Linked DNA regions of Caenorhabditis elegans. The protein of the gene in region 1 interacts with the protein of each later gene in a pairwise test. Each region holds a gene or a part of one and is shown in the gene's direction. Other genes may lie near its edges.

Region 1 (3,756 bases):
AATTATCTATTCAGCATCCGTAGCCCAGCCGCATTGTGGATCTCAGATTGGCGAATGCTTGTGCGCTCCATTGGACTCCGGAGCCATTCCGTCTGTTGATTTCCTGATTTCTGCGGAATTGTCCGGATCGACGAGCTCTGTAAAAAATTAATTTAGGAAAAATCAACATTTTTTCGATAAGCAAACCTTAATTCCTTCGTCACACTTCTATGGAATCCAGCTGACGGCGGCGGCTGAAATATTTTTGCAAAAAAACTCACTTTTCGACTTTTCCTCTTTCTGCGATCGGTTTTCGCCTCGATTTGCGTTGATTAGCTTAAAATAGTTTTTATATTTTAACTAATAATAAAGAAAAACAAAAAAAAATGAGAAAAAACAATCAAAAACTCGAAAAAAACATTACGAAATCAGCAAAGAAAATGAAGAAAAAATATATACAGTAATTTTAAAGGCGCACACACAAAAGTTTCGGTACGCGTGCCGAGACCACTCAGCAGAAGTGTGCTCCTTTGAATCTGGAGTACGGTCAATGGGGATTTATTTTTGAAAATGCAAATGCCAAAATACAAGAAAAATAACAAATTGCATTAATTTTAGTGAATTTTCTGAAAATGAGATTTTTTGTGCTTTTTTTGGAATTGTGCAACTTTTAGTGCATTTTCATCGTCCTTTTTTCTGAATTCTTGAAGTTTCTGGAATTTTTGTTCCCCCCCCCCCCCCAATCTAAGACTAAACCTAAGGCTGAGTCTAGGCCTACGCCTAAGCCTAAGCCTAAGACTAAGCCTATTGGTGTATGTGCACATAAATCAATTTTTTTAAAAATTATTATTATTTTTTGCAAAACACAAACGTTTTTTTTCAGATTTTTTATTTTTCACCCTTTCAACCTGCAAAACCCATTTTTCTTCCACCAAAACACAGCTGTTCTTGCCACCATTTGCCTGATGGAAAATTTATATAAATTGGCTGTCCTTTGTGAGAAAACTAGAACAATAATGATGACATTAAGTACTAGAGTATAAATATATTTTTTTTTGCTGACAATTCCTGGCGTCCCCCGTTGACATTGAAAATGTATAAAAGAGGCGGCCAGACACCATCCCCGCAAATGTGTTTTTGTTGTTCACTTTTCTTTTTTTTTCCACTCTCTCTCTCTCAGCTGTTTGCATGTTGTTTTTATGGTGATCTATGGTCTCTAAGAGTTTGTTTATAAGCTAAGAACTGCTCGCTGAGAAGGTTTTTTTTGGTTCGTAGCTAGTTTTTTTTACGTTTATCGAAAAAAAATTGAAAAAAGTCGAAATTTCCATCTTAAAAAATTAGTGAATTTTAATATTTTTGTTAAATAATCGCCATTGTTTCGTGCTTTTCTCGCTCTGTAAAATTGAAAATCTATAAATTTTGGGTAATTTCGAGTATTACGGGAGCACAAAATTTTGAGAATGCGTTTTGCACAACCTATTTGACGCGCAAAATATCTCGTAGCGAAAGCTACAGTAATTCTGTAGCGCTGGTGTCGATTTACGGGCTCAAGTTTTCGAATTAATTTTTTTTCGAAAAGTTACATCGATATTTCATTTTCCTTCGTGCTATTTTCAAAAATCGAGCCCGTAAATCGACACAAGCGGTACAGTAATCATTTAAAGGATTACTGTAGTTTTCGCTATGAGATATTTTGCGCGTCAAATATGTTTTGTGTCCCCGTAATATTTTTTTAAATCAAATTTCACATTTTAACCATAAAAAACTCTTTCAAAAGTGTAATTTTCTACGCAAAAATGCCGTTCGGATGAAAAATTACTTTTGAAAAACAAACTCGAAACTACGGTACGCAAAAAAGTACATCGGTGTTTGCACATAAGTGAAAACAATGTTGTTTTTTTGTAATTAAAATCGATTAATTTTTTTTCCCGGAAAACAAAAACGTTTTCAGCGTGGATTTCTATTGTTTCTTGCGTAAAAAAAAATTATTTACCAATTTTAAACGATAATTTCCACGAATTTTCGCCATTAATCTCTCGATTTTGTTGATTCTTGACTCCGAGCAATCTCTCCGGTTTTCGCAAACGATTATATTATTTATTTGTTTTCCTTTTCAGTGCCGATTCTCGGAAATTCAACAGTAAATCTTCAAAATGCCAATGCTTCCCCACATGGTCAATCTAAGTGAGTTTCTTTGTTACAAAATACACGTGATGTCAGATTGTCTCATTTCGGTTTGATCTACGTAGATCTACAAAAAATGCGGGAATTGAGCCGCAGAGTTCTCAACTGCTTTCGCATGGTTAAGAACGTGCGGACGTCAAATTGTTTTGGGCAAAAATTCCCGCATTTTTTGTAGATCAAACCGTAATGGGACAGTCTGGCACCACGTGACTATATATTTTTAGCGGTCAACGACACAAAACCCGGACCAATGGCTGAGGATCAGCTGAAAGCTTATAGAGATAGAAATCAGGTGAGAAAAATCAATTTCAGCGATTTTCTTCGCAATTTATATAAAAACTGATTTTTCCAGGAACCCCACCTGCTCACCACATCCAATGGAGCTCCGATCTACTCGAAGACCGCCGTGCTCACCGCCGGACGACGTGGTCCAATGCTAATGCAGGACATCGTTTATATGGACGAGATGGCTCATTTCGATCGTGAACGCATCCCGGAGCGTGTCGTCCATGCCAAAGGTGGTGGTGCTCATGGATACTTCGAGGTCACCCATGACATCACCAAGTACTGTAAGGCCGATATGTTCAACAAGGTCGGAAAACAGACACCACTTCTCGTTCGTTTTTCAACGGTCGCTGGAGAATCGGGATCCGCTGATACTGTCCGCGATCCACGTGGATTCTCTCTCAAATTCTATACCGAGGAGGGTAACTGGGATCTGGTTGGAAATAACACTCCGATCTTCTTCATTCGTGACGCAATCCACTTTCCGAATTTCATTCATGCCCTGAAGCGCAATCCACAGACTCACATGAGGGATCCGAATGCGCTCTTCGATTTCTGGATGAATCGCCCTGAATCCATTCATCAGGTGATGTTCCTCTACTCGGATCGTGGAATTCCTGATGGATTCCGTTTTATGAATGGATACGGAGCGCATACTTTCAAGATGGTCAACAAGGAGGGAAATCCGATTTATTGTAAATTCCATTTCAAGGTAAGCCTAAGAGAGACGGGGACTAGAATTAAATTTTCATTTTCTATTTTTCAGCCTGCTCAAGGTTCCAAGAATCTCGATCCAACTGACGCTGGAAAGCTCGCCTCTTCGGATCCAGACTATGCGATCCGCGACCTGTTCAATGCCATTGAGTCAAGAAATTTCCCGGAATGGAAGATGTTCATTCAAGTGATGACATTCGAACAAGCTGAGAAATGGGAGTTCAATCCATTTGATGTCACTAAAGTTTGGCCACACGGTGATTACCCACTGATCGAGGTCGGCAAGATGGTGCTGAACAGGAATGTGAAGAATTATTTCGCTGAGGCAAGTGGTGTGAAGATGAATTAGTTTTTTTTAATATTAGGTCTCCAAATAAGTTCCGGGTCAAAAATCATAACTTTGTTCGCTGTGTATCGATTTTTATGAAACTGTAGGAATTTACGTTATCAACTATGATCTTTCATTTGACAATAGTCACAAAATTTTTTGGCCGTCCGAAGTGCCCTAACTCGGAGCCAATTTTTTCAGGCATTTTTCAGATCTCGCTTCTTTTCAGGTTTCAATTGAGGTTTGTGTGCGGATTTTGCTTAGTT
Region 2 (3,756 bases), on another chromosome or scaffold:
TTGTGGAATGAGATTAGATGATTCTCAAGGAAAGTCAAAAGAATGGCAAGATCATATGGATTGGCATGTGAAGCAAAATTTGGCACGCCACGGGTCGAACAATTCGGCAGCTGTACCATATCGTCAGTGGTATCCATCGACATCCACTTGGCTTACACCACGTGCATCTGATGAAACGAATGAGCAAGAAGCTGATAAACCCGAGGAACCACTTCCAGGAGTAGCATCTTCCGGTGTTAAAACCAAAGAATGTTCAGTTTGTGGTGAGAAGTTTGACGAGTATTATGATGATGACGAGGAAACGTGGCGATTAAGGGACACAGTTAATGTTCACGGAAAGGTGAAAATTTGTTATTCAAAACTCGTGAATTTATCAAGATTCATTACAGATTGTGCATTCTGCGTGTGCTTCCGACGCAGCTCGATCACTCGACAACTCATCATTCTTCAACGACAGTGACATCAAAAAAGAGGAGCCGTTCGACTGAACATAATTGTTTTTTTATTGAGCCTTTTTGATGGGCATTGTCTAGTCATTGAAAATATTAACAGAAATTATAAAATTCACCAAAAAATTCATTAAAGCATTTTTCCATATGCTTTAAAATTTTCAAGCATACCAAAGTTTTCCTGTTTTCTTGTTTCGTTATGGGTTTTTTAGTTTTCATTTAGCTTACACCCCCCCCCCCCCCCCCCCCCCCCCAACGTCCCAGACAATTTCAACAAATCTTGGTTGTGATTCCGTTTCAAAACCTCACCTATACATTTTCTATAAATAAAGCAAATTATTTTTAAAAATACCTTTTATATATATTTTTCCTTTTCCACCCTCCAATTTATCACATTGAAAATAAAAATCATAAAACCCCCGTTTTTCAGAGTCGACGACTTCAATAATTTTTATTTGCTTTTTTAAAATTATTTTTTCGTTTTGTTTTTTTGGTCGAATAAATCTATTAAAATGGGAAATATAATTGTTTTTGTTCACATAACGAGAATTTCAGAGATGTAGGTTCTGGTCAATTCCGTAAATCACTGACACTCCAAAGTTATGAAATGCCGCAAAGACTACTGTAGGCAGTATCAATTGAATCAATTGTTAGAAACCTGTTTCGAGAAGTTTTGGAATATTCGTATTTCAACATTTTATTGGCTCTAAATTGTTCAAAAATCTCAAATTTTGGAAAGTTTGGTAAGTTGCCAAAATGACTAGATACTTTTAAATATCTAACACGTTTTGGAGTTTGCTACGATATTCGGGTTTTTTGGATAATTATATTCATAAGTAAAAAATCGGATAAATGCTGTCAAAGTTGAAATAAACTATCCGAGGCTTTATCAAAAAATCAATTGTTTTCAGAAATTCTGTGCATTTATTCAACTTTTTGTTCTCTGATTCCAATCTTCAATCTTCATTAAATACAACTTCATACAAATTTTTCTTCTTCACATCAAACACCGTTTGGTCCGTTTCCTTTCGTCGCTTGGAGACCTACATGGCAACATTGACTCCACGTGTATGTAGAAGAAGGGTCCCATTCTCCACGCTTTACTACACTCTATACTGAATTTTCCATTTATTTTCTTGTCCTTTTCATTTTAAAAACATTTTTCCGTTCGGATTTGTTTACAAATTTTGTTCTCTCTGATAGAAGTATTCAATTATTATACTTTTAATCTGTAAATTAAAAAAAAAAACTAAATCCTTTTCTCATATCACGGGAACAATAAATCATGAGAATGCGTACTTGGTGCATTTTATTTGACGCGCGATATCTCTTATCGAAAACTACAGTAAGAGCTTAAATATCTATTGTTATTTGAGTTCTTACTGTAGTTTTCGCTAAGAGATATCGCGCGTCAAATAAAATGCACCAAGTACACATTCTCATGATTTATTGTTCCCGTAATACCAACCAATTATTGCGACGCAATACCTTCATATACATTTTTTAATTTTAAAAATTTTTTTTAAAATATAGTTGAGATCCTTGTTGTAGTACGGTAGTAGTACGAAGATATTCCAATGTTTCTTTAAAAAAATTTTCCAACCAAATTTAGTTCTAAATTTATTAGTTGAACTTTTCAGAATAATGGGAAAGGGTGACTCCATAATCGTAGCAGTTCGGGTTCGACCTTTCAATGATCGAGAAAAGACAAGAAATTGCAAATTGGTAATTGAAATGCCAGATGAGGAAACAACAGTTATTCGAGATCCTAAAACAAACGATGAAAAACGATTTACATATGATCATTCATATTGGTCACATGATGGTTTCTCTGAAAAGAAAAATGGATATTTGGAACCTACGGATCCTCATTATGCGGATCAGGTATATATTATTAAGACTCCTTCTTCCGATTTGAAAATAATATAATTTCAGAGACGAGTTTTCGAAGATCTTGGCAGAGGTGTTCTTGCAAATGCATGGGCTGGATACAACTGTTCATTATTTGCTTATGGACAAACTGGAAGTGGAAAAAGTTATTCAATTGTAGGCTTCAAAAACAATAAAGGTAAACTGTAAATTCTATTTTAACTAAAAATTCCAAAAATGATAAGTGGTCTGAAGGTATCGAGAAGGCTGTGTATGTGTGTCAACTTACAAGCGCGGTCCGGCCACTGCACCACGCGGTCGCTTTTGTCTGCTACCTTTCGGTCCTGAACCATCCACGACTCCTTATGCACCCGGGACTAACCGCCTTCCGACAGTTATCCCCTGGTGACGTAGCGCTTGGCACGGACGCTCGGTCGACGTAGACGACGACATACACAGGACTCCTCCTCTCACTCCATCCACACTTATCTACCGTCAAGAAGCTGACTCACAAGCGCCCGCCACGACGCTCGGTGGTTTTTCGCAACCAACTGGGAAATATAAGCGAGAGGCAAATGGAGAGAGTGAACAAGAGAAGAGAACACAGAGTGGCCGTCCTAGACCCTGCAGAGGCCATCACGCCTAATATTTGCCAATTTGCGCGCGTGAGTGGTGTTGCAGGGATTTTAAAACATAGGCTGCCTGCCTTAGACTTACTAAAACAGTATAAATGTGCATATTTCATTTCTATAATGTCTCGTAGGACCTATAAAACGTCGGGCGCAAGAGAACACGACTCATTATCTTCTAGAATTCTACTGGGCACCGATAACATTGGGATTTAAATTTTAAAATTTTTTGCAGGAATCGTGCCAATAGTTTGTGAGGAACTATTCAAGCAAATTGCGGATAATAAAAAGAAAAATATGCAATTCGAAGTTTTCGTTTCAATGATGGAAATCTACTGTGAAAAAGTTCGAGATCTTCTAAGTTCAACTCCACCGCCAAAAGGTGGTCTGAAAGTGAGAGAGCACCCAAAAAATGGGTTCTACGTGGAAAATCTAACAACAGTCCCGGTGAACAGTTTCAAAGAAATTGAAGCAAAAATTGAAGAAGGAACGAAAAGTAGGACTATTGCGGCAACACAAATGAATGCAACAAGTAGTAGAGCTCACACAATTGTGAAAATAACATTTAATCAGAAATCTAGTAAGCAAGCTGGAGGTACATCGATGAAGAAAAGTGAGATTAATTTGGTGGATTTAGCTGGAAGGTTCGTTTTTTCTTTCCGGCAGGCTTTGATGCCTGCCTCAAGCCTACCTACTTTTCATACCAAAACACTTGAAAAAGCTACAAATTTTTTGAAAATAACATGTTAAGTACAGTTTTTGCAAATTGCTATATTTTGTGGTCTTTTTGAGTAATTGCGAGCATTGCT

Evidence for each region. The genes of interacting proteins can lie anywhere in the genome.
Region 2: the proteins of ctl-3 (region 1) and klp-6 interact in a two-hybrid assay, tested with the Caenorhabditis elegans proteins (one large-scale study listed by BioGRID).

The regions. Positions count from the first base shown.
Region 1 is NC_003280.10:14,309,120-14,312,875, reverse strand, and holds the start of ctl-3 (Catalase), read left to right. Parts: upstream 1-2,096; 5' UTR 2,097-2,132; coding exon 2,133-2,163; intron 2,164-2,387; coding exon 2,388-2,455; intron 2,456-2,515; coding exon 2,516-3,160; intron 3,161-3,214; coding exon 3,215-3,487; intron 3,488-3,756.
Region 2 is NC_003281.10:5,028,856-5,032,611, forward strand, and holds the start of klp-6 (Kinesin-like protein), read left to right. Parts: upstream 1-2,073; 5' UTR 2,074-2,093; coding exon 2,094-2,333; intron 2,334-2,384; coding exon 2,385-2,517; intron 2,518-2,554; exon of another isoform or gene 2,555-2,962; intron 2,963-3,182; coding exon 3,183-3,591; intron 3,592-3,756. Other genes in the region: pcf-11 (Polyadenylation and cleavage factor homolog 11), read left to right, coding at 1-340, 390-488.